Lepisosteus oculatus: one gene and its partner. The protein of the gene in region 2 purifies or fractionates together with the protein of the main gene of each other region. This does not show direct contact. Links are inferred from orthologs where the notes say so. Each region holds a gene or a part of one and is shown on either strand. Other genes may lie near its edges.

Region 1 (11,970 bases), on a different chromosome or scaffold from region 2:
TTGGTGGTTCTTAAGGGCTAAGAGGGCTTCATTTCAAAGAATCTACAAAGGGTCTAACTGAATAACTCACCTGGTTCGGTGCTCAAAGGAAAATTGCTGAAAGTGTCTGGAATTTGAAGGTTCATGGGTGACCCATAAATCCTGCTGGGTTCTGGAAAACTGGACTCTCGGGGACCAGGGATGGCCTGAATGATTAATATCATTGCTCATCTAAAATATACATGGGAGAATCCTGTAAGAGTTACAGGGGTCAGTGGAACAGGAAAAGGAGGGATCACCAGGATGTGGGGCCACTGTGCCAATGCTGGGATGATGGGAGGAGTGCATCTTTCTAAAAGAAACGTGGGGAGGCTCTAGAAAGCCTTCCTTTCCAGGCGGTCGAGAATGCCTTGTACTTTCTGCACGGCCTCCTTTCTGGTCTGCCGGACGAGATCTTGCCCCCCGGTTTCCACCGAGTCGAGCTCCAGCAGCTCTTTGGTGAGCAGCTCCTCCAGGCAGCGGTAGCTCTTGTCCGTTTTATGACCCACGAACTCGTCGACGTCCTCCTCCAGCAGGCCCACCCGAGCCAGGACCTGCTGCACCCGGGACAGGCCGGGGTTGTCGCTCGGCGGAGACGCCTCCCGAGGCGGGGCAGGCTCCTGTGCCGTTCCCGTCTTGCCGTACAACTGCGGGGGGGCGCTGTACTCCCCGCCCTGTCCGGGGTTAGGGTTCGGTGACCTGGGCTTGGGTCCACCGGGATGAGGAGGCTGATTTGGGTGGGAGTAGCCGCAGTACTGAGAGTCCTGCTTGAAAAAGAAAAAAAAAAAGAAAGGCAGGTGACAACACAAACCATGAAAAAGATCAAAACACTTTGGCAAGTGAAAATCAAAATAGGTATACAGTATAGATCAACAAAATCATCTTAGAAATAACTTCATTATACAGATGGGAGTTTACAAAAGCCAAGCCACTATTTCTAGACCTGAATTATTTTCTCGTCAGCAAATAATTAACAAAAGAATATACAGGCTGGCACTAGTCTATGCTCTATAAACCAAATCCATAACAAATTTCAATAATGCAAGAGATATAGCTTACTTACAAATTGGATCAACTTGTCCTCAAGGTCCCTACATTATATGTACAGTATCACACCTGAAGAAGGCTCCACGGCCGAAACGTTTGGTATTCTTTCTTTTCAGCATGGAATAAACCTATTACTTGTTCCTTTGCAGCCTACGCATGCTGACGCAGCTACCCACCTGAACTACTTCATATTACATATATGTTGTGTTTTTCATGTGTTACACATTTATAGGAATTACAGAAACAAAACAGGATTTTGTTTTAGAAGCTCCCCGGGCACATTTAGTTTTCCCTCTGCAGTTACACAAGCAAAGCAATCCAAAAAATATTCGAATTCTCACAGCCCGCCATCAGTTACCTTTGGGTCGTACTGTGGCGTGGCAGGCTCAGGGCTGGGCCAGGGTGAGTGATGTGTGGAGAGGAAAGGGTTTCCATAGTGGCCAGGAGGTGGCTGGGGGCCTGGCTGCCACTGTTGGTGAGAAGGGTGCCCGTAGCCCCCTGGGTGAGACCAGGCTTCGGCTGGAGGTCTCGAGGGCACTGCAGGCTGAGCAGGATACGCATGGCTCTGGGGTACTGAATGAACTCCATCTCCGTAGTGAGAGTAGGAAGCAGGAGGGTAACCAGGAGCCTAGGAGAGGAGACACGCAAAAGTAGGATAACAGCTGTTGGTTCTTGTGATGTAACTTTAGTTCTGTATCAAAGCTGCCAGCCCAGAAGAAAGCGGTGATGAGTACCCTACCCCCTGGCAGTGTGGAACGGGATAACGTTGGTGGTGAGAAGGGTGCTGGCCCACTCCTACTGTCGCAGGATTAGGGCACCCTTGGGACGGGTATGGGGGTGTTCCTGGTGGCTGATCACCACAATAGAAGGGGTTGGAGGGGTGGAGAGCACCGGAATAGACCCCGTTATGGTAGGCTGGCATTGCCTGTGAAGCAAAATGGAATTGTAAAGCATCTCTGAGCACACAAACAACAAAAGCAAAAGGTATCCAGAGCTTTACATCTTTTACATCCTATATAAACTAAGAGAGGAGGAAGTGAAATTTCTTACTCATTTTGACAGAACATATGTTTTAAGAGAGTTATTGCACTCAGTCTTGCCAGGGACTCATTTCAACATGTTAAACTCCATAAGTTCAGTCCAACTTGGCCACTTTAATCCAATGTAATTATCCACAACTTCTACTGCTTTAGTCTTAGTATAAAATATGACACAGTTTTCCAATCAATTATTGATTACTATTGTAATAGCTTGTGAAACAACTTGATGCACATGGCTTTTCACTTGAATATTGAGAATATCAAGCTTGATAGTATAATGCGATTAAAACAACCTCTCTTATAGACCGAGGGGAGGAACACTTGAGTGAGCCAGTCCACCGATTGAGTGTCATGCAGTGAAGCAGAATCACTCAATACTGTACCTGGGGGTTGTATGGAGTCTGTCCATTGACTTCTGTTCCAGGAGAATATGTATTTGAATATGGACCGGCTGGGTGAGATGGTGGGTACCAGTAGTTGGATGGATAGCCAGGGTAGGGTACTGAGTCCTATGAGACAAACCAGCTGTTAGAAGGTTACCATGTTTACTGCGGCAAAGAGTATTGCAGTACTACAGAACAGCAAAAACCAGCCTCCTCCAAAAAATCTGTCAGCTCCTTCAGGGGACGATTAATCGTACATGTGGACCTCTTTGTCCAACATGTTGGTACTAGTTCTGCATTCCTTTATCAACAGTAGGCTAACAAACCCCAAGGATGCTGTCTACACCTGAATATAGGGATTAACCACCATCCTCCCAATGTGATTATATTAGTTACTTAGAGGAGATATTTTCATTTCCCCGTGTATCAATACTCTTGGAACGTTAACTGATTTTTTAATATTCTATTTTTTTGGCTGTCATTTCAAGAAAAATGCAAAACAAAATTCTTAAACACACCATGGTCAAAATGTTTAATTGACACTCACATGGAAAAAAAATGTTTTACTGAACAAACCTGGTGGCAGATCTTTTTGAGTTTAGTTTAGAATCACGTCTTTATAATCATGGTTCTCTGTCACTGAAGGATATGATTAAACTTTTCAGCTGGGCATCATTGTCCCGAAACTTGATGAACTGGGGTCCAGTTCTGCAGGTCGTCAATTTGAATGCAAATGGAAATCAGACAGAAAACACTCAATCTGTTTAATCTATGAGTCCATTCTACCAAAGCAAAAACTGTTTTATCTAGTGACTGATTTTTGGAAGATGAAAGCTGTCATCAGATCAAATATTTCTGCTTTGAGAACTAAAGGAATATGATTGGAATCTCCAAAAAACTCCATCTGACCTGACTGCTGGAATACTTAAAATGACCACCTGTTTTCATTATTAAGTAATTAAGTAAAAATACCCTGAGCAAAGGCAGACTCATTTCACATCTTTCTTTGTAACAACTGTTCTAGTGTGATCCTTCAGTTGCAAACCCATCTGAATAGAAATTAATTAAGTGAAACTTTTCCATTTCAGTCTCTGTATAGGCTAAAAAACAGCACATAAACTGCTGTGGTTCGAGTTGTAAATTATTTGTTAATGACCATTTCTGTTTGCTAGACCATTCTTGTGTTGCTTGCCTTTGACGCTGTCCATTATAACAATCCCCTTAAACAATTTAAAATTTGCATTACTAACTCTGTCCTTTGTTAGTTTGTGTCCTGTCTGTACAAAAAGACAGTGTGTATCACTTCTTCACTGTACTTCTTCCACAAACCTGTTCCTTACTGGTGTTCATCGGAGTCGATAAAACAGGGCTCTCTGTTATCCACTAACTATAGTACAGTATATATTACCCTTCATCCAAATAATACAGAGGCAGAACACTTATTGTTTCTATGCTGGTGATAATAATGACCTAATTTCTAGGTCACATACTCTAACAGTCTTTGCATGTAATCTTGTAGGTATCAAAATTTCATAACTTAATAATAAAACTGAGGTTCTATTAGTTTCTATTAGTTTGTTCTCAGCATCAGACTGACAAATCCAGAAGTTTAAGGCAGTCATTTGATAATCGTGTGTATAATAAGAAGCTACAGTAGCGGTGGCCAGCCGTGGTGTTGAAGAGGCACAATCCAGCTGGTCATAAGGTCACCCTTAAATCCATTTTCAAATGCTTGAAACAATTTCATTTTGACCACAGAAGCAGGACATTCAGTTCCGAGACGAATTTTTGATCTGAAATGAAATCAAAATCACTTGAGAAACAAGTTCAATGTATTTACGAATTAAGATTTAAAAGGTTACTATAGGACCTACTGGACTGTAGCTCTCCAGGACCAGTGGTTTGGCCACCAACATGTTAGAGCATCGTTTTGAAGTACTTGTATTTTGCTTGACTATCGTATGCTGAGAAACTCGTCTTAGTTTTTTTTTTAATTATTATTATTCTAGGACTGATCCTGGTATCTCTAAAACACAACTGAAAGATTTCAAATTGTGCAAAGCAGTGCTGCTTACTCCCTCATAAAATCTATATCAATCACGTGTATTCATGCCACCCCTCTCCTGCGATCACTGCACTGGTTACTTATAAACTGTGGTTTGGACTTTAGTATTAACTTGCAAAGTTTTACACATTTTTGCTGCACTGTAAATAAAAGTTTATTTGACAACTTTATGCTCCCTCTGGTCATGCCTTATATTTGGTAAAATGTCTATGCACCTAAGATAAGGAATTATTTGAATTATTTGCTCTTCTTTGTACGGTACGATGCCGAGCCAGTAAATATTTTTAGGTGGTTAAGAAAACTGCTTCTACACGTCGGCTTTTAAGTAGCTTTAAGTAATTTAAGTTATTGTCTGCCTTAAATGTCCGTCTTATAGTTCTGTTGATCTAAGCCTGTGTGCTGTTACATCAGCACAGTATAGTAAAAATATACAGGGGTTAATACGGTACTTAAGACAACAACGACAACGACAAGTCGTTTAATGTGTGACACTCGAGTGAAAATACTGGAAGGAAATTAATGAATAATAAAGTTCAATTAAGAAGAAACGAGGTATTCAACCAGATTCGAACATCTATAAGGTATCCTACTGTAGCTGCTGAAGATAAGCCCCATAGCCTATTCAACGCTGCCACAAGTTACACGAAAGATCACCAATATGCATCCTAAGCTAAGCACTACTTACCCGACTGCCTGTCACCATAGGGGCATTCCAGTTGTTGTTTTCCGAGTTGTTGCTATAAGGAGGCCAGGTTCCTTTGGGATTTGATTGCATTTGGTGCATCGCCCATACAGGATCTCCACCATTTGCACGACCTCTCTCGTTGCCTAACGAATCGTACGCCATTGAGCCCGATTTTACCAACTTGACATTCCTTGTTAAACCAGTGTACGGTTAGAGTTCTGTGGCTGTGCGTTTAAAACGGAACACAACCACATAAAACAATGAGACGCGAAACGTGTACCGCCCCTTTAAGTTTGAGGAACTCTGCTTTCCTCGTCCTAGATGGCAATTATTACATGAGGGCACACTCTTCTTACGTCAATAGGTTAAATCATTTTTTGACCAATAGGTGTTCAGAACTCGGAAACACGTCCCACCTACATCCTGGAAAACGACCTATAGATGAAAGCGGGGTCTTGGTGCCCTTCTGACTGACGTCACTTCTGGTTTTTGCCGGGGAATTTAAAGGGGACGTCAAAGGTTCTTCTAAAGTATCTCTAGGGACATTTGGGATGGAATAACGCATCCTTGATGCGTCAATATTTGTCATATCTACTTGCAGAATACGTTCCTTTAAGCTTCGTGGTGCTATATGATGGCACAGTGTAACGGCTGTGTTTATTAACACCATCATTGAGTTTGGTCTCTTGATTATAATTTGCATAACTAATTATATAAATTGGTTAGGTAATCCTAATGATGTAAAATCAATACTATTTAACCTTGAATCAGACATGGTGGGAAGTTTATATTCCAGTAACGTTTTGACTCTTCTCAATCGGAACAAGACAAGTTAAAAACAACTGAATACGAATAGGGAGTATATAACACAAATCAACTTCTTCAGTCTCTCTGCTCTCACTCCATAGTAGCGTAATATCTAATTCTCCGGTAGGATATTGAAATTTGCTTCAAATTTGCAATCAATAGAACTCAACTCGTTACACACAAAAGAGCACGACAAATGTGAAATGTATTTAATTTATAACATGCATATCCACTAGTAACTATGCCAATAAATATGTTTTTATCCCCAATTTAGCGTTTTCACTCTTCACGAGATCTGTAAATTGTCTTAAGTGGAACATCAAATAAAGAGTTAAATCACAGAGGAAGTGCAGGTCTTACACTAACCTTGCACTTCCTGTCAAGGCAAGGATACACACATTTTGAATGATTCATGGCCAGAAAACGGCTCTTTATAATTATTTCCAACTTTAAAATAGCATAGTTGAATAGCGCTTAAGAAAATGAATTATATGCCGGGAACAGCGAGTCTAATTGAGGATATCGACAGTAAGTAATACGTTTAATTACTGCTGATCCGTACCTTACAATGTATCTTGTGAAGCTCTGCTCGGTTGTGAAAGAGCAAGCGGTGTATTGTTATTTTTTTCAGCTAGTAAAGCGGCTTTTCCCCGTGTTGTTTTTCAATGTGAGTGACTGGTATTGCTTAGAAAATGCAGTAAACGGCGATGTTGTTTAGTCAATATTTGAATGCCTCAGGTTAGGTGTCCCAATTCCTCCCTTAACTCTCACCTCGTCGAACCATGTCGAAACGGTTTAGAAAATAATAATTTATCGCAAAATAAACGTGCACATATCATTTTACTTTTCTGTTATGGTAAAACCGACCTACAAGGACATAAGACATTACGGCTAGCTGCCATGCATGTGTTATTTCCCTATAACATTTAATAATACTTGTCGATGAGTGGAGACTAAAACATCAAATGTTTCATTGCATTGCTCAATTAAGTTATTGTTTTTATTTGTTCCTGACTATGATGTCGTTGCACGTCCTGTGGTGAACGATAGTGAAAACATTGATTGTTGATTACCCTCAAGATCTTTTGCTGTATTGGTTTTTTTTTCTTTTGCAGAAAAACATCTTGTCCTTCTACGAGACGGGCGAACACTGATTGGATTTCTGCGAAGTATTGATCAGTTTGGTATGAATCATTGTGGATCACTTGGGTTTAGCTTTAAAGATTTTCTCCGTGACTTGCATTCAACTTGGGGGATAACGTAAAAATGCAATTTGCCAGGACATGCGTATCATCATACAACTCGGAAATGAAATTGGTTCCTTTAAAATGAGTTCATTTCTTGTTGCATTCAGTTAAATTTTCTTAGTTGTTTTGTTAGTGATCAATTTCAACGAAAAAGGCTGCTGTTTTTTCTCTTGGTAGGTAAATCCTGTAGTTATGTTAATCACAATCCCTAAATTCTGTGTTGTGACAACTGAGACTTCCACATTTTTATATCTTGGAGCTAACATTTCAGAAAGAAAAAAGTTTTAACTTGATCACTGCGAATCGGTGCATTTGAGAGTTCCTTGCTAATGGATTTTTAACTGCATTTCCGTTTAATTTGCAGCTAATTTAGTCTTGCATCAAACAGTGGAACGTATCCATGTGGGCAGAAAGTATGGAGACATCCCTCGAGGAATATTTATAGTGAGGGGGGAAAATGTTGTTCTGCTTGGAGAAATAGTAAGTAGGCTTCTCCTTCTATAGCAGCTTGTTTCATCAGTTGGAATGTTTCTAAGGATGTGGCTCTGAAAACGGTTTCCTTGAATCAGTCCTATATACACAGACTTGTTTTTGTTATTTTCTGAAAATAAACTGATCTGGAAAAACTAATTTCACAAAAAAGAATAGGCTTGAAAAAATGGCGGTTGATCTGGTTGTAAATACCCAGTTTCTCAAACTCCCTTTGAATGCTGTCTTGAAAACAGCTCTGTCACTGGCTTATACCCAGAAGATTAAATGTAATGGAAGTAAAAGATTCTCACAGCAGGGTGAAGCTGGCACTACCTATGGTAGTACATTTGTCATATACAATTACTGGATGTGTAGCGCAGTTGGGCTTTTCAGCACATTGTGAACATGCCTCTGAAAAGATCAATTTATCGAACATATGATAGCAAGGTATCTCACTGCAATCAACTGGAAAGACTTTGAACTTAAGTGAAGTCAAAAACTTGGATCTATTGATGCTAGAAAAAATTATCTGTGATTTTCTGGGTATGTAGAAGGGAAAAAATTATCTCCAAATCAGAAATTTGAAAACATTATAAAGGACGCTCCACTGGTAATCCTATAAAGGACTTTGGAAACTGAGGATGATGTATCGTAACTTTCAGCCTTATTAGAATATCTGTTGTCTTTTTTTTTCTCTGCCCAGGCTTGCTTTATCTTAGCACACTGCACATCTAACTAATCAAATAAAAATAGATCAAATCAGCAGAGAGCCTTAAACTGGTCTGTGTTTGATTCCTAGGATCTGGAGAAGGAGAGTGATACAGTCCTGCAGCAAGTTTCCATTGAGGAGATTTTGGAAGAGCAGAGGGAGGAACAGCAGGCTAAACAAGAGGCAGAGAAATTAAAACTACAAGCACTTAAGGACCGTGGACTGTCTATCCCACGAGCAGACACCCTAGATGAATACTGAATCCCTTTTATTTTAATTGGACCTTTCAGTTTTAAAACCAAGATGATGACAGGTTGTTGTTGTTTTCACAAACTAACATGATCATGTCCTGAAGGGAGAGGAAAGAAAATATTTACCCCTAACAGAACTTGCCACGTTTTGTTTTGTCTAATAGTATTTCAAATGAATGGCGAATTATGGATCTAAACTAATCGTCTTTTTGTTACCTTTGATATGTGTCACATTGGACGCCAGGGCAAATCGCAACAAAGCACTTGTTTTAAGCTGCTGTAGTTATTTTCATATTATGTTTCTTAAATGAAAAGGACTTCTTGTTTTTTGTACTATTCTGTCAGAATAACGGTGGCTGTTTTGAGCTGCCATGTAAATAAACAGAGAACAATCTAAGAATTGTTTAAAAAACTGTCAACATTTTGGTCTTTAAAAATATTAGTGTATTGTTTTCGTGCAATATAACACTTAATTGTGATTGACTGTTGAATATATATATATATAGGGTGCTGGGAATACTTAAAGACCCATGTCTTACTGTATTTGTTCCCGCTCTTTAGTTTATCCTGATTTTTTCATTTAGAATTGTTTTTTCAGCTATATTAAATTAATTACTTGTGGCTAGCTCAAGCAGGTATTGTGCACCAACAGTGTGTTGAAGATAAGGGAAATCTGTACAGTGAGCAGTGTGTTTTATCTGGCCAGAGTTTTTTTTTTTTTCTGTGACACGAGTGCATTGCTCCATACTCGATGGGACACCTGACCACCACATGGCTGTCCCTCATTTGTAGTTCTGAGTAGACTGCAGTGCACGGAGGAAATGAAATGAGCTCTCATCCCATTAACCTAGCACTCCACAGCCCTGGCTTCTAGCCTAATGTGAGAGACAAAATTGAACTTCTCTGTGGAGAAGGTCCTTGGGTTCAAGCCCGAGTCAGGCCACTAGCCAGCTGTGAGTGGGATTCCCCGAGCACCATCTCACACTCAGGGAGCGTGGGGTGGGTTTATCTAAACGGCTCCGGCTTGTGCACGTGTGGGTCTGTCAGAGAGGCAGTGATCTGCACAAATAAGGGGAATGAAGAGTTTGGGAAATTGTCTTGCATATAATTTAAAATATTTTTTTTACGACACTCCAAACAGAGCCTGGCTGCATCGAACTTCCTTCTTAACTGGATTCTACCAGTGGTCAGGTCAATTGGTTGATGCATTTCTTCTGAAGCCATACCTATCGATAAACGATCCCCCAACTAACTGTCCATGTCAAAGAATCTGTACCATGGAGACTAAGGAACCATCTCCATGACCGAATTCTGAGGAGATAGACAGGTTTGTAGGGTACAGTATGCAACATAGCTGAGCAATTGGGCAAGATGGTCCTTGGTCGTAAATAAAAGTATTGATCTCTTTGGCCTGAATAGAAAGCACTATGCCAGGTGCAAACTGAGCACAACTCATCACCTGTGTAACACCATCCCTTCCAAGAAGCCTGGTGGCGGCAGCTTCATTTTATAAGGATGCATTTCAGTGGCAGGGCCTGGGCCACGTGTCAGGAGAGAAGGAAACGGTGCCACGTACAAGCAAAGCCTTGAGGAGAACGTGCTTCAGAAAGCACAAGACCCTAGACTGGGATAAATATTCACATTCCAGCAGGACGACAATCCCAAGCACACAGCCAAAGTCACAATGAAGTCCCTATGGCCCAGCAACAGCCCAGACCTGAATCCCACTGAGAGTCTGTGGAAAGGCTAGAAGACTGCAGTTCACTGATGCTCCCCTTCCAACTTGACAGTTTGAGCAAATCTTAAAGTGGGTGTTCATAAAAAAAAAAATCCCTCAGGGGACAATAAAAATCTTATCTTAACTTGTTTAATAATCATAAATGTTGCTAATTTAAGTATTTAGACCTGTGAACTCAATATTTGATGGAAGCACTGTTGACAGCAGTTACAACTGCAAGTAGTTTTGCACATCAGCTTAGTATAATTTTGCAGATTTGCTCAAGCTGAAGTTGCTTGGAGATCTCTTACAAACAACTTTTTGCACGTCTCTACGTAGATTGTAAAAAAGATGCAAGACAGGAATTTGACTGGGTCACTTAAGGATATTAACAGATTCTGTAATATCTGTAGATATGGCCTTGCTCCTTGGATCACTGTCAAGCTGAAAGATTAATATTTGTGCCACTTTTAGGTGTGAAGCAACTTTTCTCTAAGATTTGCCAGTACTTTTCTCCATCTACTGTATGTTCCCATCAGTCTTGACACACTTCCCAGTCCCTGTTGATGACAAGGAGAAGTATAACATGATGTTACCACCATCGTCCTTGGTGGTAGGAATGGTATGGACTAAGTAGGCACTAGGCTGGTTTAGCATCAAATGAAATGCTTTCCATTTAGACCAAAAGGTTCCAAAATTGTCATGTTTGACCACACAAAACCGTTTGCCACATATCTTGCAGTGTCTTGTAATGTTTTGTTGTAAACCCCGTGTGGGATTTGAGATTTGTTTTCTGCTCTGGCATACAACACAGCTTTGTGGAATGATTGAAATATTGTTGAGTCATGGACGTTGTCTCAGCCACTGAATGCTGTAGCTCTTTCAAAGTTGCCATCAGCATAATAGCAGCTGGCCAAGGAGGAAACTGAGGCAGGCAGTGTATGGGTGCTTTCCAGTCCTTAATGACACAACTAACTATGTAGCTAGTTAAGGTTATTTTGTGCAGCTGAATTAATTTGGGATTTGAGGATTTGTTTTCTGCTCTGGTAGAATTAATTTAGGTTTGCCTTGGCAAAGAGTTTGAATACTTCAAACTACTTGTACATTTTTCTTTCACATTATCTACTTATTTCTTTTTTGCTTTGAATGTGTGGAGTTGGTTGTGCATATAAAAACATCGATGTCTGCTTCATCCTCTCACGGTTGCGAGTGTTAAAGCAACAGACTGCAACTCTTGATGTTGGTACTGTAAGTCATTGTCCCGTGCAAGTTGTACAGGAGAGACAATGTTCCCAGCAGATGGCGCAACGGTTCGGTGCTCGATTCAAATCAGTGAAGCTGCAAAAAAAAAACTTAAACATTTTGCCAGTAGACCTCTCTTTTTTCTGTCAGTCTATGAATATGCAGCTAGTTCGCAAAGACATACGCAGATATGCAAGATGTTACTGAGATTTGAGCGATGTAAATACAGCTGTCTCGGACGTAGTGAATAGTTACTATACATACATCTGATAAATTGAGGTTTTTAAG
Region 2 (12,057 bases):
AGTTTTCTTGTGCTTTTCCGTTTCAGATCGGGGCGTGGTTCCTTCTGACTCATCTTTAATTTTGTACATCCTTCTACTTAATTTCCGCACTTAAGAGAATAGTCTTCAGTCTTGTCTGCTGTGAAAGCAGGTGTTGATTATAAAGGGCTGCAATCATCACCATGCAGAACACCTCTGTAACCGTTCATCCGGCTCCTTTTCACCTCACAGGTTACACTCCTGGTGTGCTGCAGCTACATAAATGGCTTTGGTGGTGGATAAGGGAGATAAAATGCCATGTCAAATCGCTGGTGTTCTCAGCAGGGACACTAAAACCCCATAAAAAAAGTTTAAAATAACCTGCTTGTCACAGACTTTTCCCATATTAAATATATAACCTTGACGGTATTTACAGCATTTCTGAAATGTGATTTGACAGCCGGTGGACCCCGTCAGTAATTTTATCAACCTGCTACAGAAACACATCTTGCAGCACTAGAAAATTTGTATCTGGGTGCATATTTCTATCCTTCCATGGTAACAGTTTTGAGCAGATTTCAACATGTATTCAAAGTGTATTACTATAAAGGAACAAGTAATAGGTTTATTCCATGCTGAAGAAAAGAAGAAAGAAAACACAACGTTTCGGCCGTGGAGCCTTCTTCAGGTGTGAGAAAGACAAGGCAGTAGGCAACGGTAATGTAGCAGGAGAACAAAGGCTGGGAGAGAGGAGGAGCGAGAGGTGGGAGCAGGGGACAGAAAGAGAGGCCAATTAAGAGGTGTGAAGTCAGAATAGGTGTAGAGAGGTGTGAAATGAAACCTCTAATGAATGAAGAAAATTTAGAAGAAAAGTAGTATGTCGTTAAGAGAAGGGGGAAGGTCTGACCCTAGCTGCAGGATAATTTTGGTTTCGGTAGTCTTTCTGATGTATGAGTTTGGAAAACCATCTTTGAGAACACAGACGGAGAGATTAGAGTGGTCGTGGCCGTCAGAGGTGAAATAAGAAACAACAGACTTGGAGAGATCTTTAATCTTCACAGCCCTGATGTGTTCTCTGAAGACGGCCCCGACGGCCATGACCATTGCAAACAATGTTGTGTTTGCTTTCTTCTTTTTTTCAGCATGGAATAAACCTATTACTTGTTCCTTTGCAGCCTATGCATGCTGACGCAGCTACCCACACGTATTACTATATGTCGTTTAATTATTATATTGCTATTAATTTCTCCAAATTTAATTTAGGAATATGGTGCCTGATAATGTCTATATTCCTCACTAAAGAGTTCATGCACCAGTCTATGCATATGGACTGTGTGTGGAGTAAATAGAAAGACCATGTTTTTCTTCAGAGTGCCCCAGCCATTTTTGAGGATTTTTTTTTGGATGGACTTACAAGCTTCTTGACCTTTTTTGCTAGCAAAAAAAATGAATAATTGTTTCCAGCAGTGTTAATACATTTTATCACATACTTACAACGGGCATTCCTGTAGAGCAGGAAAGGGTCCTGCAGCTGAAAGTCCAGATCCTTGGTTATTGGCTCAGTGAGGTTGTCCATACTCAGGCGATTCATTATGGTGAAGCCATGCCTGGGGGAGGCAGACCTAAGACCAGAATAAAACAGGAAAAATCAGGGCAAAATTTCATTGTGTTGTTTGGAGCTCTAAGCATAAGGCAATGGATCAAGTTAAAAAGTCCTTGCAGAAATTCTTTAAAGACAAACATGGATTTAAAAATCAAAATTTTGTACAGCACTGGGTTTAACATGCACATGAGATCTTCACTTTTTAAGGTGATCTATCCTGCATCCAAGAAATGAAGAAAAACAGACTGGTGTAGAGTGTTTGTGAAAGCCAAAACATAAACAGTAGGAGAGTAACCCCGGCAGTGTCCTGGCCAGATTTCCCCTTGGCCTTTACCAATCATGGCCTCCTAATAATGCCCTTCTATGAATTGACTTCATTACTCTGCTCTCCTCCCCACTGATAGCTGATGTGTGGTGAGCGTTCTGGCGCACTATGGCCGCCGTCGCATCAGGCGAAAGAGTGACGCTTTCTGCCCCACCAACACAACCTACTACAGCAACCTGCTTTTCCTAGTGGATTACAGTCCTAGTTGGTACTAATCACTACCTACATTCCTTGATTTGATTGATCTAACAAGAGACTCTAAATTGTATTTCTAAACTTCTTTTTGTTTTGTTTCATCTGTATCTTAGGATCCATTAGAATGAAACTGTGTCGCTCCAAACAGACTTCACATTGTCATTTGTTCTAGTGTTCCCCCTACGCTGCATACAGTAGGTTGTGTTTTGGTCACAAAATTACACATTTCATTATATTTTGGCATTTGGTGGAAATTGTTTCCTGTTTTTTCCTGAATCATAAACATCTTACAGGTGAATCATAAACATGGGTTTTCGCCGTGTGCTCTGGCTTCCTCCCACAGCAGCAGATTAATTTGGTTAATTATGTTCTGGGAAAAATGGTCCTATTGTGAGTGTGTGCATGTCTGTGCCTGTGTGTGTCCTGTGATGGACTGGTGTCCCATCCAGAGTCTACCTTGCCTTGCACTTGGTGTTTGCTGGGTTAATCTTTGACTACCCTGCTACTATGAATTGGATGAAGTACTCAGAAAAAGGATGAATAGTCCACAGTTATCCTTCCAAAACTGATACATTATGGCAAATCAACTCATAAAGTGAGACGTCGTTATCAGACATACTGTACCTCCCTTACCTTGTATACACAAATAAAGTTCCTTCCACATCAGTCTTTTCCTGAAGAGAAAGGTAACATTATGTTATTAACTCTTAAAACTGGAACTGCTGGATGTGCACTACCTTCAGAAAAAAGATTTGCGGCGAAAAATGAAAAACTGCTTAAATTAAAGCACTACGGCTTAAAGAAAATGACAGAGACCTAAAGAGTAACAATTTGCTAAAAGGCAGGCAAGGAGAAAATGCTTCTATAACACAATTTCACTCTTATTGAGAGAACACATTAAACATAGTGTTATGAAAGCAAACTTCACATAGCCATAGCTATAACACCATCCATCTCTGTCTTCCACTAATTTATTGAATGCAATTGAGCACTTTGAAAACAATTCTTTGCCAATGCTTTTTATACTATCCCAACACACTGCAGTTCTGATTTACAGAGTTAACCATTTGTAGAAACAGGATGTAAGTACTTGTCTGTAACTAGAAAAATGCCTTGGTTAAGTTATTCATAAGTAGTATTAACTATCATTTGCTAAATTGTGCAGTCAGAAGAGATACTGCCAAAAGGAAATTTACCAAACAACATTTTTATGCCTAATAAAAACACTGCAGGACATGGAGAGTGCCAATATAGGTCTGTATCTACAGTATATTTTATATGGTGGGAAAGCAGTCCGATATCTCTGACTGAAAAGGGCAAAAACAATGAAAAAAAGTAAATACCGGTTCTTGGCTTTACTGGATGCCAGCACGGTGACGTGCTCACAGCTCTTGGGTGCATGGTTTAATATTTGTGTAGAGTTGGCAAGTTCATTTCCTGTGGGTTTTGGTTGGGTGCACCAGTTTCTTTCCACCTTCTAGAAACATTCTGGCTCACTTTAACCAGTGCCTCCCAGTTGTCCCTGTGTGCTTGTGTGTTTGTCTTGTGTGTGCGCCACGTGAGACCTAGGCCTCAGGGTGGTACTGATCGTTTCCAGGAACAAGAAGCATTCTGGTAATGCATGGATGGACAGATGCTTTGCTGGAAACCGGTATTTGACAGCATATCTTAAAGCTGAAGTCAGAGTCAACAGGCTACAGTGAGTCTGCAATGCCCATTCTGCAACCCTGACTCTCTGCCAATCCGATCGTGTCATAGTTATAATGAGACTGGCACTTCCATTTGACTGGCCAATAAAAAGGCCAGCAAGGAACAAAAAACTCTTCTGGCAAAGCAATATCCACACGCTAAGCATATTTTACACAGTGTTCCCTGATCAATGTAAAAGCACAGTGTTGTATTAACTTGACAGAAAGCACTAAGTTTCATCATCATGCCTTTCAAGTTAGGTCATAAGCTTTTCATCTTTCTATTTAAGAAAGAAGAAAGTTTTTAGAGAAAGAACAGATACAGAATGCACGAGATATTTGAGCACTTTCTTTAAAGAAATGTTATTGTTTCTATGAGCACACTGATCCCGTTCCCCTCAAAGATACCATCTCTTTCTATGGCAAAAAAATACTCCACCTATTTAAAATCTATTTAAAAGCACAAAGAGGGGGGAAATGAATGTCTGAATCGGTTTTCTCAGAAAAGAATGATCTGTTTATTGGTTTGTGACTGCATTTGCAGTGCACGGAGCTTTCAGGGTTCCTCACAAAAGCGTCTTCTGTCACATGTATGCCTCGATTCTACGAACTGCAGTAGACAGTTTATAAACTGACTGCGCATTTGAAGCAATCCAGAACACAGAACTGGAACATTTTTACAGCATGTGAGACATCAAAATGTAGTTTATTAAGTTAGCCAGGAGAACAGTAAATGTAGAAATGTACCTGATATGTACCCAAAGTAAAGGGGAAACAGGGCTGGCATTCTACTCGCAAATTCCTCTAACTGGCTACTGAAAGGTATATCAATTAACTAAAGAAACAGACGTTTATCCGAAATTTGTAAGAATTTACTTCAGATTTTCTCCTTATTCACAACACCACGTTTAATAAATTTTACCTGTGCTGGTAAATTTAATTTCGCTACCAAGAAATGGCTTCATTCTACTATTCCTTATAAACTCCACATTCGGACACGAGGTTGATTTTATAATCTCAGAAGGCTGTACAAAAAAAAGAGCAATTGATAAACTATTACGTTGATTATTCAAGCTGATACAAAAATGATCATTTTACATGGTATTTTGTTCTATCCGACAGGTTTTAAGTTTTAATGTCCTAAATTACATTGCACGCGTAATTTGCTTCTCTTACGCAGGCGAAACAAAACGAGTTTTTTTTTCATACAACGTCAATCAAAATAGTTTGTCAAAACTTCAGGATGAAAATCATCAAAACAACGAAGTACGTTATCAACGCAATTTTCCCTGCAACTCCTTGCAAACGTATATTCTCACAGCATTCATCGCTTTTATCACTGAAATAACGGAGAAAAGCTTTCTGCTATACAGGTAAATTATGTCAACTGATAACAATAATAACAATATTGATAACATTTTCCCAACAGCGTGTGCCACTGGGGCTGAGTGTTAAGTTTGCTTTCTTACCCACTCGTTTGCTTTGTTGCTGAATGTGTACAGGGCAACCTGACTGGCAACATCTACGATTTTGTTGATGTACGGGTCATGTCGCTGCAAGGCTGCCAGGCTGATGTCCAAACCTTTTGCCGCCAGACAGGTGCCTGATACCATCCCAGATGTAGAACTCATCGCCCCCCTGCTCTGTTAGGTTATACGGAGCCCTCAGTAAATTTGATCCCAACACTTAAATCCCCCCCAAAATACCTCTATGGTATCTGAATGTTTTGCAGATTTTTAAAAAATTAAATAAAATAAAATCAAGTAAATCTAAAGTTAAAAACGTCAAGTTGGTATTTTATTAACTCTAGCTGTACACCCATGAGCAGGAAGTCGCCATTTTTCACCACCTCTGACTGTAAACAGTCAGACGTGACTAATCGTTTGTAGCGTCACATTACAGGTCATCTAATCGACTCTAGAGACAACTGATTGAATACTGGGGGGAAGTTGAAACGCGATAAAAAAGGCTTCTAACAGATAGCAGAATACACGAATTTCTTAAAGGGTTCGCACTTCTGATTAAGCAAATGCACGTCATCATAGAACCCCAAGTATCCCCCATGTATAGCACGACAGCCCTGTAATATATTTTAAAAACGGCAAATATAGAGACATACAGTACCGATCTGTAATAATAAAATATGAAGATCGAGCCAGCCCCATAATTGAAAAAAAAGAGCTTTATCCAGACTGGAAGTACTGTACTAGTAAGACATTAAATGGAAAATGGATAATTATTATTGTATATTAACGCCAGACAGTTGCCTGCTACAGTACAAAGCTTGTGCCATAAATAAATATGGCCAATGAATATACTGTATTTGTAGAAAACATCACAGGAGTTCAGTGCTTTGCAAAAACATTCGTGCTCTTCCAAAGATGTCCGGTTTTGTTCAGCTACAAATGATGTGTACACAGTCTCAAGTGTGGACACTTTTATAAGTAAAAAAAAATACCAATACCAAATACCAAATACCAAATACCAAAAAACCAATACGATGTACATAATTAACCTACAATAAATACTTGAAAAGTTATCTCACTATATTTCGTACTGTTATAGCTGGTATTTTCTATTATTTTGCAATTGTGAAAATATCTCTTACTCAGTTTTAGAATGAATGATTTATTTACTGTAAATCAGCATTGAAATTAATTGAATTTATATTTTGCCTTCATTCCAAATGATCGAAAAGCACTTAACTTATTCTGTAGGAGAGAAGACATTTCATCCACCACTGAAAGACAGAACTCAGATGGACAATCAAGAAGCATACACCAGTGGCCCCACTACACAGCAGATCAGGAGAGCAAGAAGAACATTTTCTTCATCAGTTGAATTAATTGAGGACTTTGGGTAGAATAGATTGTACACGCCCAAAGTGAAATTTAGCCATGACTGCAGGGTTAAAATCCCTACTCTTATAAACAGTGTAATGGGATCTTTAATATCCTAAGCCACGTGGCCAGGACATCCCATAAAAACAACCCAAAAACATAATTTTTGTTTGTTTTTGGTCTCATAGGAATAAACCTAAAAATTTCTTCCACTATGTACAGATAATGTACTAACTTGAGTCTTCAAAATCCTGAACAATTTTGACCACCAGATTTTGATCTACCCACTAGACTATCAGAGGTAGAAATGAAGAAAACATGCATTCTGGACTTTGAAAAATAGTAGGAACCTCTTTATACAAAAAAAGTCACAGGTGTCAGGGACAATGAGGTTCAACTTTGCTGCTGAAGCTGTTTTCTTAGAACTCTTCAAGAAACTACAAAAAGAGATCAATATTTTTAAATACCTTATGGCAAGAACTGAAAATTCTACTTTTGTAAGTACCCTTTCTTAAATTCATTGATGAGTGACAGTAAACCAAACTGATCACACATTTGTCTGCTCTGTTACATATTTTAGACTTTCAAATGAATAGTGTCGAACCAGATTTTATATACCAAGAGCTATAGTCAATAAAATAAAATGCAGTATATTGTGAGCTTTGGAATACAAACGTAGTGTTACAAAAACTATACCTTTGTCAATTTGAGACCATAATTTAACCTTTTAAACAAATGCATTTTTTAAATGTATGAATGTAGTGTATCTGTATGCCCCTCACCTCTCATGTCTATACTACTCCAGGAGAGCAGTATAATGTCTCAGTGTGCATTGCCACACAAGAACTCCAGTTATGCTATTGATTTCCTTTATCATTCTGGTAACATTTCTTTAGCATGTCTAAAGGTACAAGCAAGTACAGAAGATTATACAATCAAGAAAATAGGCTCTCTGTGTCCTTTCAAAATCAGATTGAGTAGAGTAATTGTTTATTTTAAATTACTTACAAAACTGTTCTTAAAACAGCACAGCATGACTTTAAAAAGTAGAGTTTAGTCTAGTCTAGTGATAGTCTAGTGCTCTTGACCAAGTGAGTGGTATTTCAAGCCTGTGCCGTATGTGTATATACAGTATGTTGCTTTTAGATTTAGTGAATTTTGCGCACTGTGAAATAAGGCAAATCAAGGAGTTTATGAAAAAATGTGATTGGAGATATTCCATGCTTTTTCCTACACATAAGAGAAATACTTAGTATTTCATTGTTTAAAAAAATGAATGACAACGATCAAAAAATGAAACACAATTCAAGACATGAGCTTCCATAACTGAATCATGATATAAAAATATGAGATGAAGTCATCAATAAGTTGTTAGGAGAAAAAAAGCAGTGGTTATGACTCTAGAGGGCACTAGTACCTTAGATAAGTTCAGCTGACTTGTACTTTTCGAACAGCAGGAAAAGCGCTATTTTGAGCTGCTACTAGTGCACATCTGTTGCCACCACAGTATCTCTGTAACATTCCTTTTCACCCAAATGGCAGAGTACATTTTACTCTGTTACGTTGTTTAAAGTATTTTTACTATGTATATAAAGTATAAATATGTGCCTGTAAGTTTTTGCATGAAACACAAGAGTTTCTAAGGAGAATACTATCCTACATACAGGGGTTGTTGTGAGAATAAATAGAAAGACTTAATGGCTTTTCAATAAATATTTAATCAATATTTTACATTAAATGTGTTTTACAACTCATTTTTTCTTATATTTTTCCCATTTTGTCCTGTTTTTAAACCAAGCCTGCTGTCTGGATTCACTTTGTCCATTATGGCTGGAAAATCCAGGTATTTTACAGACAAAATTCACCTTTAGCAGATTCTGTCCGTTAAATCTGAAGTCCGTTAAAGCAAAGTTTGCTAAACCAAGGGATTACTGGGTTCGGTATTCTCCTGTATTCTAATTGACTGAATTAAGGGCTTCCTCAATTGGTTGATATGAAGCTCATGCTTCCAAATCCAGAAACAACTTAAATACCCTCAACTGAAGAGGTCAATAACAATATTTAGAATTAAATACAGCCAGGCTACCAAAACCTTGGAGTGCTGTAAGCTCTATAGCTGAATATTTGTCTGTTTGCCTATCCAAATGAAACTACTTAAGAATAGAATTTATTTCTGGGTATTGTGGTGGGAGTCAAATAGGAATTGGAAAATAAGACTGACGGGGACATATTAACTGGGAATACAGAATTTCTGAAATAACTCAGCTGTTATTGCGTTAGGGATAAAAGTAAGGAGTATGCTAGAAATAGGATTTCTTCTAATATATAGCATCATACAAGATACAAGATTGCCAGTGTATCAAAGAAGCATACTAGGATACAAATGAAAATTAAAACCTAATTGGTAGCCAATGTAGAGGCGCCAGCTCTGAAGTAATGTATGGCAGGGATTGATACCATCTGCTGCATAGTGATGAAGTATTGTATTTTTTAAAAAATACAACATCATAATCTATCTAGGAAATATAAAGAGATGACTTAGAATCTTGGCATGCACAAAAGAGAGAAAGAGACATACCTTTGTTCAGGTGGTATGAAGAAAATTTGGAAGCCTACGTTATGACCTCAGTTTTCCAGGCATTGAGGTAATGCTCCCAGACAATGTTCCCAGACAAAGATGCGGCGATTGTTGATTCAAAAGAAAAGGAAAACCAAGATTCCTTATAAATAAGTCTGTCAGCAGGGGTGGCATCTGGGATGGACATTAAACGTGTGATCAACATCTGAGAGGCTCTAGAAGGAACATTATGAGATTCTGATCAGGAGCACAAATGTGGTAAGACAGAACAACATACTTCACAAAGAATGTGAAAACGTTTACACATTTACAGAATTCAAAGACTCATCTGTGCTTAAGGGATGAAACTGTCAAGTTCTTCAACAGCCTTCCCCATCAATGATACTTAATGAGGTGGAAACGGACAACGGCATTTTCTGTGCAGGTCAGAGGAAGAAGTGGCATGCTGATCTAAAGAGCAGATGGGATAAGTATCCTTTTAGGATGTTAAGAGACTGGACAAGGAGAAGTGGGGAAAAGGACACAGATAATAAAATCGGGAGTGATGAAAAGTGATGTGACAGTGCAGTGGCTTCTTTCTGCTATAGCTGGCTGGTTTTGTTGAGTTTAATATGTATGCATGCTTTCCAAGTTTTAATTTCTGTTAGGTAAAGGTGATCCAGGAAGTGTCAGTCAAATGTTTATATTGTGATTTGTCCTAGATTAGTGTCTTCAATTAAATAAATGCAGAAGGAAAGAATAACATGTATAATGTGTATAAACTCACAAAACAAATGTTACATATCAAGCTTTTATTGTGCAGAAAAGCTTTGTCCAATTGGTCCTTATTTACCTAGAACGGGGGTTTGTTTACTTGTACAGTCAGGTCAAATCTGGAAAGAGCTTTACAAACATGACGTGGGACTGGAAAACATGACTGGGAACATTGAGGTCTGCTCTTAAAAGACTTTCAGAATGGCCAAATGTAACGGTTGATTTGTTTCTCTGTAGCTAATCTCAAAGTAGGCATTTCCTCAAAGAATCATTGCTTAGCAATCTTCCTTTCAGTTTTGTGTTGTTTTTTATTTTTGTTTTGGTTAAAAACTGGAATTACTTTAGAAGTGAACAGGTTACAGTTTGAATTCCCACTCGTAAAATACTCTGAATGGGCTTTCCTTTTTATATATAACGTGCATGTATTTATTTATACTACCACAAGGCATAAATTCTTCTAGTATATGTCCTTAAATGGACTTAACAGAGCTCCTTCCAAGATTTTGTCTGAACTCACTTCTTCTGATTACATTTCTAAATTAATGTGAACAAGGAAACACTTATAAAACATGGCAGGACTTGAAATTACAAATAGAGAAATGACAATTAATCAGGTTTACGTTTTTAAGTCTGACATATAGCAGATCACTTTGTTAAGGATACGTCAAGTACTTTAATACATATTTATTCACTCAAAACATGCAAGACATTAATTAATTAATCAAATGATGAAAACTCTTTTAGTGTTGATAGGATGACAGAAACACTTCCAGGAAAAGAGGTCTCTTCATTTCAATACAGAATGTAATGTGGTTAGAAATTTTCTAAAGGTATCCAAAGTGACTAAAATAGAATTTACAGAATAACAATACTAAGCTAAAGTCATGGATTGGTAAAATCATCTTAATTTACTGTGAAACACATACTGGGATTGAGTGATTCAAGCAATTACAGAGTAATTTATGCCTTTGACTGATTGTCCTGCCCCATCCCCCGAACACTCAATATGTTATTACACTGTGATCCTTAGTTATGATGAAAGGTGTTATTCTACATTAAAATGTTTGTTGTTGTATTGAATAAAAGGTTCAGTTGTCTTATGATCTCTCACTAGTGTCGTATAATGGAGACCAAGGATTGACTTTGTTACGCCCTTGGTTTCAAGCTAATAACCACTGTCAGAGAGAAATACGAATGTGGTGAAAAACAAAACACAAGAATATATAAAAACTAGACATTGTAAAAAAAACTATTTTAGAGTAATAAGATTAAAAGAAAATAAATGTTTCCCTTTCAAAATCTTTTAAAACAAATTCTTTGTAGTTTCTACAATTGTTCTAGCCCTTTAGTAAGTTATCTTAACTACATATTTGTAACTTAGACAACAATAACCTTGTGTGGGTCACTGTGGTGCTGTGAATATGTGGTCTTTCTTAACTGTTGTTTTACTAAGTTACTGTACAGTATGTACTGTATGTGCTGTGGTTTGCAAAAGTATTTAGACCCTAACACATTATTTCTCCCTTCAAAATTTAATTTAATCCGCATTACATAACACTGTTGCATTGTATGTATTGTTTCACAAGTGAAATCTTCCCTCATCTATTTTGTGCTTACAGTATATTATACAACCTTTCAGTGCTTGTGAAAAGCATCAGCTACTGTATGCTGAATTACCAATTTTTGCTTCACAATATGAGGTTTCAGAATATTGTTCTTCTACCTCAACTCGTTAAATAAGTGACATCACCTTTTCATAAAAGGAAATTGAAATGCGCAGTGCCTCACAAAAGTATTCAAACCCTTGCTTTGTTTTCATATTTTGTTACTTTAAAGATTTTATTCATGACATGGCATGGCAATTACTGTAATATATTTTATATGCAGCCTACTGCATTCAAAAAAATAATTAACTAGATTATTTAAAAAGAAAAATGAAAAAGTCATGATGGTGAATGTATTCAAACTCTTTTTCTGTGGCAAACCTTAATTAATGTATGTGTACAAAATTACCTTAAGGAGTCACATGCTTAGTTGAGTGGCCTTTATCTACGGTATGTGCAATAACATTCACATGATTTCTGAGCAAGAAGACTTGAATTTCAAGCATGAACATT

What was found.
Region 1: the proteins of dcp1b (region 2) and bag4 purify together in Homo sapiens (affinity purification with mass spectrometry; 3 studies listed by BioGRID and IntAct, counting the BioPlex papers as one, with this or other methods). This does not show direct contact. The link is inferred for Lepisosteus oculatus from reciprocal best matches to the Homo sapiens genes DCP1B and BAG4.

The regions. Positions count from the first base shown.
Region 1 is NC_090697.1:70,604,756-70,616,725, reverse strand, and holds the start of bag4 (BAG family molecular chaperone regulator 4), read right to left. Parts: upstream 5,577-11,970; 5' UTR 5,401-5,576; coding exon 5,239-5,400; intron 2,615-5,238; coding exon 2,489-2,614; intron 1,991-2,488; coding exon 1,805-1,990; intron 1,694-1,804; coding exon 1,424-1,693; intron 786-1,423; coding exon 354-785; 3' UTR 1-353. UniProt on the Homo sapiens protein: Inhibits the chaperone activity of HSP70/HSC70 by promoting substrate release. Prevents constitutive TNFRSF1A signaling. Negative regulator of PRKN translocation to damaged mitochondria.
Region 2 is NC_090702.1:7,872,045-7,884,101, forward strand, and holds the start of dcp1b (mRNA-decapping enzyme 1B), read right to left. Parts: upstream 5,645-12,057; 5' UTR 5,401-5,644; coding exon 5,239-5,400; intron 2,756-5,238; coding exon 2,715-2,755; intron 1,581-2,714; coding exon 1,453-1,580; intron 1-1,452. UniProt on the Homo sapiens protein: May play a role in the degradation of mRNAs, both in normal mRNA turnover and in nonsense-mediated mRNA decay. May remove the 7-methyl guanine cap structure from mRNA molecules, yielding a 5'-phosphorylated mRNA fragment and 7m-GDP.